2 linked regions of the Saccharomyces cerevisiae S288C genome follow. The gene in region 2 interacts genetically with the main gene of each other region. Each region holds a gene or a part of one and is shown on either strand. Other genes may lie near its edges. The genes, in order: ROM1 and TRM3.

Region 1 (6,107 bases), on a different chromosome or scaffold from region 2:
ATATTAGCTTCGATGGATCTCACTTTACAAAACATGAGTTATCTGAGGAAAACGACTCTAACTCGGGGGAATGGTGCCTAAATCCCATGGAAGAGACATTTGATATTCATATTCCTATCTCGGATTCAATTTGGAATAATTACATAAGCAGTAAAAACAAGATTGAAGTAATCGATATTTTACTTCAGTTGCTTTCAGTAAATTCGACATCTTCAATACGGTCAGAATTATCTTCTCTAACAGCTAATCAAGACTTCAGTACCAAGTTGAGTGAGGAAACAATTAAAATCAAACTTTTGAATTCACAGTTTAATCTCGAAAAAATTAATTTTCACTCTGGATCAATTTTCGATGCTTGCTAGTGACATAATATTCCAAAGGAAAGGACAATATACTTTCAAGACTTTATTTTCTAGGACAAAATTCTTGTCCATTGTATTATATTTTCTTAATGGCACCCATATATTTCAGGTAAACTACATATGGTTATACAAATAAAATAATATTACTTAAATTTAGATGTATAGGTTCAAGAAATAAGTTTTAAGGTATTAATATGGGCGGTCAACTCAAAAATTTAACAGTTCGATAATTTCAAATCCTTGAGGATCCTCATAACAATATAAGATCTTCTTGGCATATGATTTTAACATACGTATCTTGTTTCCAAGTACACAGCGGACAAGTTCTCCATTTTCTATATGTCTAATTTCAATAAAGTTACTATTAATTGCCACAATATAAGGGTAGGAACACGCGAACTGTTCTGGTTCCCCCTCCCAATGAAAACATCCCTTTGTCTCCTCCCTCTTCCCTTGCTTATTGAGAAAAAAGCAGAGTTCTGGAAAACATGCAAAAGTTGAATTTTTTATCGGAAACATGGAAACTACTTTGAACGTCTCTTTATACATGTTCGCTAAAACTTTGTTATCATGTAGATTTAAAAGCTCCCTCATTTTAAATCCATTTTTATCACACACTTCCGGTACGTTTAATATTTTGATATTTTTTTTACAACCAATGCAGATCTTATTCTCCAAAAAAGAAAAGGACAGAGGTTCAGAATCAACGCTAAAATCTACCAAGCCTGCCTTTAGGTTTTTTTTAAAATTACCGCTATTAAAATCAAATATCAAAGGATTAACAATCAATAATTGTACGGCGTGCAAAAAATGATGTGCAATCATAATGATTCTTTTACCATTACAGAAACCGTCTTTGAACATTGCAACATATTTAAATAACACTTTAGAATTTTTTCTGAAAAGAAAATCTGCATTTTCTGCATCGTCGATTACGTCTAAAGGACAGCCGTACAGTTTTTTGTCAATTAGAAGAATCATAACTTTATATTCTTCCAATACAGAGATCTGTGAAATTGATATTTTGTGCAGAAGGTGCACTGGTTTTTGATTGATCGATGTAGCATAATTAAGAACAAAGAGTCCCATATTTGTTGCAACCAATAAAATTTTACCAGCATGACAGATTAGGACATCGTTGACGCGATTAGTATTTATGTATGAGTGAAAGAATTGACCTACCATTTGCTTAAAAGTAATATGTTTAGTTTCATCAAGGAGCCTTTTTTGCTCTTGTTTCACCTTTTCTATTAATGTCTGTAATCCGGCCGGCTGCGGCGCGTACAAAGTAACTTGATATTGTTGTTTCGTACCGTAATAGGCGAATACAATAGCATTCTTGGGATTGCTCGTTTGATATTGGGGTAAGAGCACACCCGCTGAGCAATTTGGGTTTTCTGTCACATATCTTTTTATGGGTGGCATATCCTCAGCCGGACAAATAAACAGTAAAGGGAGTGGAATTGGTCTCTGAAATACAGTGTGTTGGTGCCACTTGTTTACAGCTTTTGATTTCAAGAATAATAGCATATTGTCGAGTAGGTAAAATTGAATGTCTCCTGAAAAGGACGCATCTGTTTTGTTCACGTCCTTCCTTGAGAGTAAACCTTCATGCTTGATTTTCCTTTTTTCGTTATTCAAACCCAGATTAACGTATTCATTTTTGAATAGAATTTTCTGCTTTAACACTTTAACGTCATAACGATCTTGTGCTGCACCGCTTGCTCTATCAATCCTTTTCATTAGATCCTTTAAAAGATCTTGGACTTTCATTAGCATTTGTAGATCATCTTTGTCTGTTACTGGGTCCGAGAAGTGTATTATTTCTCTTACCAACAGTGAATATCTACCAGGTCTTGAAACACCCTGAGATAGGAATGAATCGATCCCATGCCTCAGGGAAGAATTAGACACTTCATCGTCAAAACGAGCAAAATTGGGATTAACTGATCTTTGGGTTTCAATTAGATACTTTGCGTATGGTCTTGATGCTATGTATGACAGAAAAGGATCAAAGAAAGGAAGATACTGCAAAAATATATCTGCAATTCCAGGACAAATTGGGCTTAATGATTGCCTTTGTGCTAAAGCCTTCAAAAATTCTCTATTGACAGAATATATTTCATTGATATGTGCGAAAACGTGCTTTACAAAATTTATCCTTACATCAGATGGAATAATATTCGTTTCTAATAATTTCTTCATGAAAGTATCTCGGATGATTTCCAAAGATTTTACAAACTTCTTTTCTGTAGTAAACAACTCATATATTGCCTCCTGCCTTTTGATTTGTTGTTTGGATAATGATTCCCATACGCTCTTTGGTACAGAATTTGTCCAGGAAATTCGTTCATCATCCTCCTTATCGAGTGCTAACGAAATATTTCTCTTAAGACCACCACCTAATTTTAAATGTAAATTAGCCTGTTGTTGCAAACGATTGGGGCAAGAAATAGAGTAGCAAAGTTTTTCCAGAGAGCATGTAGAGGAATAACAATGTGTCAATGGGACAAAAACACCATATATTTCAGTTTTAGTACGGAGCGAATTAACTGAAGAAGATGATGAAGAAAATGTGTTGGCAATTGAAGTAGAACTCTGCGACTGATGTGCCATAAAAATTGATTCTGAAGATAACTCGTAAATCTCCAGTACAGAATCTCTTACGCCATGGTCATAAAGTACGTCATGGAACAATTTTTGAGCTTCCAGCGATTTTCCGATCAACATGCCCAAATTACGATCTAAGCTTCCTATGATCAAGCATAAAGTATCAATTGCTTGTTTTCCTGTAAAGGAATCTCTGTAAAGTAACCCCATCTTTTTATGCGTGCTCAATTTGATGGTCTGTTTGAATTTAATTGCTATTAGTGATAAAAGTGCAGGATAAACCAAAGGCGTGCCTTTGATCATGGATATTTCCGTCAGAGAGACAGGACTTGATTTGGACCTTGAATGATGACGTTGGTGTTGATTAGTATGGCGTCGATATTGACTAGAATGATTGGAAGAGTTTGATGAGCGTCTATTTTGGGTTTTCAGTGACTCTAATGCAAATAAAGAAGAGGTGCTAGAAGAACTATGTTTTCCATTGAATGAACTGTGTAACTCCATCGTGTGACCTGCACTTTTGGGAGTTGGAGGCGTAGATAGCTGGTTTGGATCCCCCATATGACTGCCACTGTTTTTGGAAAATGATAATAGTGAAGGAGATGAATGTTTTCTTACGTGAGGAAGCAAAACATTCGATCTTTTTTGAGAAGGTGATGAAGTGGTAGTGCAACTGTTACCTTTATCTTGTCTGGTCGAATCATTTATTGAAATTTTTTTATTAGTAGGTGAAATCTGATCGCCTGTGAAGGATTGTGGACTTGAATTAAGGTTTGTTGAAATATGTAGGACAGGAGATGCCTTTAATTGGTGGGAAGAACAGTCCGGTGCTATCCTATACCGTGCACCGGTGTCGTGCCCTAGTGTATAATCCTTCAATGAAGCCTTATTTTCATCTTCAGTACTATCTTCATCCTCATCGTTAGTGATAGAAATTTCATTGATGTTTGTCTGAACTTTGGAGCCGGAGAACAACTGAGTAGGGGTTGAAGTATCTGATTTTCTTTTCTTACCGAATATCTCATAAAAATATTTATTTCTTAGATCCAGTTCATTACTATTCATAACCTAACCAAATTCTTACCAACGACTTGGTTTTATTTATATCATTACTAAATCAACAAAATTTTTGCTTTAAAATTCAAACGTGGCGTTCTTTTTTTTGATTTAGTTTTATTTATTTACTTTTTCATTCAAGAGCAAAGAAAAGTTTAAAATTAACGATTCTCCCTTGGGCCCCTTATGATATGTCTAAATATTGCCGTTTTAGGGCAAAAAAGATGAAGTGCGTTTACTTTCGTATAGAGTTTGTAGATATGACATTGGCAACAAAAAATCATGGGAAATTTAAGAAACATACAAACGTATGCGTGAAAAAAAAATCGACACTAGACGCACTAGGTGGTGCTTAATTGGAGTACTGGAGCGCTCCTTTAGATACAAGATGACAATTTATTGAAGATCGAGTAGGGGACGGATTACTCCCACATTAAACAGCAGGTCTTTCTTATTATAAGGAATACAAAAACAATTGAAGTAAAATGTTAGATCTAAAAATGTTTCTTTGTCTTGCTTTGTATGTATGTAATAATATACTCCTGAATACTTCACTTCGTCTTTTACAATTCTAAAAAGGCAGTTTCTTCGAAAACTGAAAAAAAAAAAAAAAAAAAAAAAAAAAAAAGAAATAGAAGGAAAATGAAACAGATGATTAGGATGAGTATAAGATGGCAAAAGTAAAAAATATCTTGTACAGCTCTCGGCGAGAATAGGGTGAAGCAAGACCATGTTTTCACTTAGTTCGCTATCTAGCAGCGGTGGGCATTCAGAGCAGAAGGAAAGAGAGAGAATAAGTTATTTTGATATTAGAATAAACTCCCCGTACAAGGACATAATTTTGATCCAAGGGTCACCGTTGGAACTGTCGTCTATACCTTTATCAGGAAACTTAGTGATTTCAGTGAAAAATGAGATCGTAGTGAAGAAAATTTCGCTGAGATTGGTAGGAAGATTCAAATTGGAGTTTTTGCAAGTTGGCCGATATAAGAAGAATAGCAGTAGTTTGGCAAGTCTAGTTAAGGAAAAGCGTAAGATTTTCGAATGCTATTGGGACAACTTATTGGTTTCTTCAAAAGGGGATGTTTTAGTCGGTGGGGAAAATGCGGAAAATCAACATAACAGTAGTAGCGGTCGCAGTACAAGCAACCAAGATATGGACACCAGCGGCAACGCAATATTTCTAAGCAAGAGATCACTTTCGAGCCCTGTTTTCAACAAAATAATTCGAAGAAAGACCCATTCTTCCCACAGAAAAATACTAGAGCTACCAGAAAATGGTGTTACAGGAACCCCTTTCGAGGGTTTAAGAGAAAACGCCCGTAGTAGAAGCAGTAGTAGTAACACCCTCAATAACAATAGCCATAGTTATAGTAACAGAGACGGGTCTGGAAGTTCGTACTTATTCCTAATGAAAAGAGGCAACTACGAACTACCCTTCAATACAATGCTCCCCCCAGAAGTGTGCGAAACAATCGAGGGACTACAAAGTGGTAGCATACTGTATTCCTTTGAAGCCATTATAGATGGACGTCAGTTATGGGATACTGATCTGAGCGTTCATACTTCTCCTCACGGTCCAATCGGTAGCACAAGTACGAGCGGCAATGGTATGAGAACGAAGAATAAAATTATCATCAAAAAGTTCAAGTATCTCAGAATCCTTCGTACATTATCGATGGACAATCTTGCCATGCAAGAAGAAATTAGCGTGGGTAATACTTGGCGTGACAAGTTGCAATACGAAACGTCCATCCCGAGTAGGGCTGTTCCTATTGGTAGCACAACCCCCGTGAAGATTAAGATTTTCCCCTTCGAAAAGAACATTCGTTTGGATAGGATAGAAATGGCGCTAATCCAATATTACGCAATGAAGGACAGCAGCGCACAAATTTATGATGATGAAATAGCCGTCATGAAAATTACTCATCTAGCGGACTTCGGCCCGCTGACGGACAAACTTGACGTCGATTGTCCCTTTACAATTCCAGATAACCTCAAACAAATAACTCAAGACTGCTGTCTGCAAGACAACCTAATCCGTGTCATGCACAAATTGCAGGTACGTATTCTTTTACA
Region 2 (7,028 bases):
TGGTAGTAGAGACAATCACTTCTTTACTGAACAAGGTTTTGAAGTCTGGTAGCGGAGTAGATTCCTCAAAGTTGCAATTGACAAAAAAGTACAGCTTCAAAATATTTGTCGATGTTCTGGTCATTTCATCACATTCACACCCAGTTTCTTTAATATCCTTTGCTATTTATTCAGCGTTGAACTCCACATACCTACCGAAACTTATTTCAGCTTTTGACGACTTAGAGGTGGAAGAACTTCCTACGTTTCATGATTACGACATGGTTAAGCTTGACATTAATCCGCCTTTAGTGTTTATATTGGCCGTTGTAGGCAACAATATGCTATTGGACCCTGCAGCCAACGAAAGCGAAGTGGCCAATAATGGCCTAATCATTTCCTGGTCTAATGGTAAGATTACATCACCTATCAGATCAGTAGCATTGAATGATTCAAACGTTAAAAGCTTTAAACCTCATTTGTTGAAGCAAGGTCTTGCAATGGTGGAGAAATACGCCCCCGACGTAGTACGATCACTGGAGAATTTATAAAAATATAGTCACAATTAGATAAAAAGACAAATTAGTTTACATACTAAAAACTTCATGGTTAACAAAAGTGGGAATGAAACCTGATTCTTACATGTGTTGAACTGTATAGGAATGAACGATAACTGCGGTTGCCGTTTGAATATTCATTGATCTGATCACACCAAATTGTTGAATCTCTAAACATAAATCCAATTCGCTTAACAAAGTCCCCGGAATACCGAATGCTTCGGTTCCTAGCAAGATCAATGATTTTTTAGGGAATTGGAAATTGTTGTCTAGCTTCACTGATTTATCCGTTTGCTCTAGCCCAATTAATGTGTACCCTTCCTTCTTTTTCTCTTTCATGAAACTTGCAATCTCATCTAGGGCAACTTCCTCCATGGGCATCCATCTATCAGCAGTCACAGCAACATTTTTAAATTGAGGATGGTTTTTGACTTTGATGTCTTGTACAGTAAGCAGTCCCACACCTAAAACATCACATAACCTACAAATACCTCCCAGGTTTGGCGGCTTATCAACTAATGAAGATACCACAATCAATTCAGAACGTGTAACGACATCATTCGATTTTTTATTGTCCAGATCCAGAACGGTTTCCCAAGCTCCACTTTTTGTTTGCAGTGGAGAAGTGTCACAGGAGATGTTCGCGTTGTTAACAGATTCCGTATTGGTGTCTCTTTTATCAAGCCATAAGGACCTTTCATCGGTACCTATAGGAACAATATCTTTCTCCTGCAAATATTTTTCGAAAACAGACTCAGAAATGTACGGGCAATCATGGTCGGTAACTTTTTTGAGCACACCACCAAACATGTTCGTTAATTTCCTATCACCCTTCAGATCCCATATGTTGGCATCCCCGGCACGATATTGACCAAATATTTGAGTCTTTTTGGCATTGGAATATAAGTTCTCAATGATGTTTCTCAGTGTGTGATCCGATAGGTAGGCTTTGAATGTAGGCCATAATGAAATTATTAGAGAATTAGAAAAATGCCTTACCAGAGGTTTGTTTGAAGCTGCGTTAGGAACTAACGTGCAAATGAATCTGTCTAGTAACTGTGTAAATCCATATTTCTTTTCGTCGTTTCTTAAATCTTTCAACACCATAAAGCATATTTTTTCTGCGCTAACTACAAACACCGGTTTGCTATGATCCTCCAGCAATGAGAAGAGATAATCCTCAGCAAATTTTGGATTGCCAGTTTTATAATAATCAACAACCTTTGAGGAAATGAACCATTCTTTATATACTCTTACTAGTGGTGAACTTTCATCCTCGATACTCTTTAGAATTCTGATCATGCTAGTTTCGCTTAATTTTTTTTCATTGGTGGTTAGTAGTGATAATAATAACAATTGCCACTGCAACAACCTCTGTAACGCTTCGGCACCGTCGGTTCTCTTTATAGCATAAAGTGCGTTTGTTTTTTCAGTAACTTTTTCGATTAATCGAATTTTCAACTGATCATTTGCATATAAAATAGAATCAATAATAGATACTCTAGCCAATATTTCGTCGGGTCCGTACACCTTTTCATAAAGTTCATCGCCTTTTATGTAATAATTGTTCAGTTTGTGGTCAAATAGGCTGGAAATAACAGGTTTGAGCTTGTAAAGGTTGACATCCATTTGCGGCTGTTTGAAAACACCTACTATAATGTTAATCAACCACCAATAGTTGACATCTTCTCTTAACAATTTCCCATAAAACTTCATAAATACTCTGAGTTGTGATCCGAGAAGAGGGAGTAGGCTTCTTCTGGAATAACTCAATGATATAATCGTTTGTGCATGTTCCTCCAACTTCGAGGTCAAAGTATCGATATACTGATTTGATCCAAAGTACAGGATCACAGGATGAAATAATCCCTTAATTAGCATCAAATGCAGATCCCTTTCCTTCAAAACTAATCTTTCACTATTAATACATTCCCATATAAACGAAAATTTCTCAAAAATGAATTTCACTATGAAAATATCATCATCAGAAACAGATGTGGAGCAATGGATGTAGGAATCTATGATAAAGTACAATAATTTACAGACTGCCAGGTTCCCCAGATAATTCCCATTATCTTTGTTAATATTCTCGTCAACTAAGCGTAGTAGTATGTGAAGCTCATCATCATTTCCTTCAGAAGAGTCACGATTTAAGGCGTATGTTTTCAGGAAGGTATTTAAAAGTTCAAAGTAAGAAGAATAAGCGCTGTCCTTCACTTTAAAGCTCTCTCTTGAACACTGATTGGCAGACTTTTTAACCATTTCATATAGGCTCAGAAGGTCATTAAAATTTAGCTCGATTGTATCGAACCTACATTCATAAGTCTTCTGGTAAATTTCAGCAAAGAACTTGAATTTATCAAGCGAAAATTTTTCCATTACCGACTTAAATAAATTATTCACATTGATGGATTTCCATGTAGATATTGTAAAATTTGGGTAAGACAACAAAGCGGTTGCATTTTCATAGGTATAACCGTTCGAAGGTTCGCCTGAAAGTAGCTGAGTTAGAAAAGTAACTGCCTTTGAAGTGTAAACGGGTATATCTTGCTTCGACTTCGCAACTTCAATTAAAAAATCGGGAGTAATATCAATATCCTTGAAATCGAAGATGATAGATGCTAAGAGGTCAAAAATAGTATCCTTTCCGATGTTTGTCGTCAAGTTTTCTTTCGCTTGCAAATCGTCAAAGTGAGAAACGGCAAGATCCCTATAATCTTCAAAAAGAGGCTCAACATATTTGTATGTCCCTCCCTTTAACTTAATGTGTGAAACTAATGTAAACAATAATTCAGATGCGGAGACAGATGGATCAATGTACAGTAAGAACTTCAAGTAAATTGTTTGGATTGTAGTTTCGAGAACCTCTTCTTCGGCTGCAAAATCGTACAATTTCCTGATCAGACTCAAATGGTCAGAGTTGATTGTTTTCTGTTTGTTATTCTGGAAGAAAACTAAGATACCGTAGGACAAGTATATCCTAGAAGGGTCAAAAGAGGTCCCTTTTTCCACCAATAATTTCAAAATTTCAAATAATATATCTGATATGCCTTCTGTTGTTTGGGAAAGTAAGTTATTGACAAATAATGAAAGTTTTTCACCATGGGGACAACTGACACCTTTTACATCAAAATAATGAGCGGACATTGCAGCTGGAAGAAGAGTTTTTGTCAATAATGGCAAGTTTGAAGAGAATGCTGACATATTTGTAATCGAGAACATTAACGTCATCATGTATTTTCTGACACTCTCCATTGATGATTTCAATCCCGTAGAAAGCAAGATAAGGCCCCAACTATGGTGTAAATGCTCGTTATCAAAAATTTTTATTATATCTTGTTTGGCCGCTTGTATTTGATTCAATGATGTGTCCAGAGCAATCATTTCATATAAGGTGGTGAATTTCTTCCAGCTACCCAGCATCTCGATATTTGCTAGATCATTGCATTTATAAAATGTTGTTTGCAATGTTATACCATGAGATGACAGTTTTTGAATTGTTAATTTAAGAATTGAGAGTGCCAATTTTCTGTGTTCGTGCACATCATTATCCAGCTCTGTTTGAATGTGCCTCCAATAAGCATCGGTCTTTATATAAGTAATAAGTTCAGGAGACAACTCTGCTGCTAAAAGGAATCTTAGGAGAAAAGATAAACTGTTCTTTTGCTTCCAAGCTTGTTGGGAGCCTTCAGCGTACAATTGTTTGATAAATGTCCAAATGAGCTTATCAAAGTTACTATCGGTATTGCAGCATTTCGATAAATATTTGATATGCCATCTCATTAACTTGGAGCAGGAATCAGCAATCTCTTCCGAATTACAGCCTAACAATGGAACAATGATAAAATCTAGGCATTTGGACGATATACCATTCTTACATTCGTCAAATAAATATACAACTTCTAAGTAGTGAAGCAGGCTAAGGATATCTAAGTGCAGATTTTCATGCTTGATATTAGCGTTTTGTTCCTCAGCAAAAGAATCGAAAAATGGTTGTACAATCTTTTTTCCAAAGTTGTCATTGAAGAGATGTTTATAGTTTTCGCTAATGATGTCATTTAACCGGTAGCTCATCCACACCTGAAATTTATGCCATACACTGGGTAAACAACATAGTAATTGTGCAGAAGTTCTTAGCGCCTTGTTCATTTCAGCCCTCGAAGAGCGAAACATTTCCCTGGCTTCACCGTCTATACTAGCATACGCAATGACCTGCTCAGTAATTTTTTCAAAGATTGGTGTTTCAATGTTGCTGTCCGTCGTTATATCCAGTGGCGAAGTTTCAATCAACTCCAGCACCTCTTCTAAGCTGTCATTCTGAATCAAGTCTGATATAAGCTTTAGTTGCTCTTCGCGTGGTAAATATTTGCAGATGAGAGCACCTCCAACCATTTTGCTGGTAAAAAAAAGGTATAGAGTTTGTAACGTTCGTTAAACAATTCTTTTCACCGGATTTTAATAAGGCTTGGCTTATTTGCTTACTAGCAATTATATAGTTACAATAGTGCTGTTTCAATCTTGCTCATCGCCATGGTGAAACTTTTCGAAAAACACTTGAATTTTCATTCACGTGATCTACATTCCCTTACCCGACAACTCACCCATTGTGCCCCCTTTAAGATATGGCTATTGAGTAAGCCAATATTTATCGATTTACAGCAAGTCATCTCCAAAATGAAGAGATGACTAGCTCGAATACTGGTGGTGCAATTGAACATACCATCTAGAAAAGTTGTCTTCTACAGCACACAATGTCAGACTTAAATGATGTCCAAGAAAATGCTAAATTGAATTCGGAAACTCGGAATACAGGAAAGGCTGAACCACCTCATGGGACAACTGAGTATGTGGCAGAGGCAGAAATTTCTAAGAATGGAGTTGGATCGCCAAAAAAGAGCCCAAAAAAGGGTAAGGTTGGAAAGGGGGACAATAACAAAGTAGAAACTGAGTTAGTACACACAGCCCTGTTAGAAAAAGACAACCCATTCATGGAGGAGGGGCCAACAGGATTCACAAAATCAGCTTTATTAGAAATACCCGGTATGAGAAGCCATAACCTAAAGAACCCGAATGAAGATTACGAGGATGACTCTGAGGGATTATTGCCTTTAAACCAAGAATCGAATGCAGAAACATGTAGAACAAGTCTTAGTGGAAGTATTAACTCCATGAACGGAGAGACCTCTGCGTCAGAAGAACCTTCTGTAAGTAATAGAAAGAAGTCCGCTAGGATACACATACTTGAAGCGAAAAGAGTTTCCGAAGGTCAAGGAAGAGCCTACATCGCCTATGTTATTCAGTTTGAAAATTCTACCGTTCAGAGACGTTACAGCGATTTCGAGAGTTTGAGAAGTATCTTGATAAGATTGTTTCCTATGACGTTGATACCGCCGATTCCAGAAAAGCAGTCAATAAAGAATTATGGTAAGTCAATAACTGGTTCGAGTTCAAAGTATTTGCTGCCCTCAGAAGGTTCTGGTTCAGTAGATCTATCATTGTCTGTGATACATGCGTCGGTCAATAATAGTGATGAAAAGTTAATACGGCATAGGATAAGAATGCTCACTGAGTTCTTGAACAAACTTTTGACGAACGAAGAAATCACAAAAACATCTATAATTACCGATTTTTTGGATCCTAATAACCATAATTGGCATGAATTTGTTAACAGTTCGTCCACTTTTTCATCTTTACCGAAGAGCATCCTCCAGTGTAATCCACTAGATCCCACTAACACCACTAGAATTCATGCCATGTTACCAATACCGGGCTCCTCGTCACAGTTATTGTTGAATAAGGAGTCCAACGACAAAAAAATGGATAAGGAAAGAAGTAAGTCGTTTACTAATATTGAACAGGATTACAAGCAATATGAGAACTTGTTAGATAACGGGATTTATAAGTATAATAGACGAACCACGAAGACTTATCACGATTTGAAATCGGATTACAATGAAATCGGTGAGGTATTTGCACAGTTTGCCCATGAACAGGCTCAAGTTGGGGAATTGGCCGAACAGCTTTCTTACTTAAGCAATGCCTTTTCGGGGTCCTCGATTTCTTTAGAAAAATTAGTTGGAAGACTATACTACAATATAAATGAGCCTTTAAATGAATCTGTTCATATGGCAACTTCTGCAAGAGAATTGATCAAATACAGAAAATTGAAATACCTGCAAAATGAAATGATTAAAAAGTCTCTGAATTCCAAAAGAGCACAGTTGGAGAAGCTGGAAGCGCAAAACAATGAATATAAGGATGTTGACAAAATAATTGACAACGAAATGTCTAAAAGTCATACTATTAATCTGGAACGCCCTAATAATAATACAGGTAGCGGTGGGAAATCATATGGTGGCAAACTATTCAATGGATTTAACAAATTGGCATCAATGGTAAAAGATTCTGTGAAGTATCAAGAAACAGATCCGCATACCGCAAGTATCAATTTGAAGAAAGAAATTGAACAACTGTCTGAATCATTGGAAGTTA

What was found.
Region 1: mutations in TRM3 (region 2) and ROM1 together harm fitness more than expected from each alone (negative genetic interaction), as found in Saccharomyces cerevisiae (2 studies listed by BioGRID).

Annotation. Positions count from the first base shown.
Region 1 is NC_001139.9:625,736-631,842, reverse strand, and holds ROM1 (Rho family guanine nucleotide exchange factor ROM1), read right to left. Parts: upstream 4,038-6,107; coding exon 570-4,037; downstream 1-569. Other genes in the region: ENV11 (Env11p), read left to right, coding at 1-362; ART5 (Art5p), read left to right, coding at 4,759-6,107. UniProt on the Saccharomyces cerevisiae protein: Stimulates the exchange of RHO1 GDP-bound form into GTP-bound form.
Region 2 is NC_001136.10:256,815-263,842, reverse strand, and holds TRM3 (tRNA (guanosine(18)-2'-O)-methyltransferase), read right to left. Parts: upstream 4,929-7,028; coding exon 618-4,928; downstream 1-617. Other genes in the region: exosome non-catalytic core subunit RRP42, read left to right, coding at 1-530; ATG20 (Atg20p), read left to right, coding at 5,288-7,028. UniProt on the Saccharomyces cerevisiae protein: S-adenosyl-L-methionine-dependent 2'-O-ribose methyltransferase that catalyzes the formation of 2'-O-methylguanosine at position 18 (Gm18) in various tRNAs.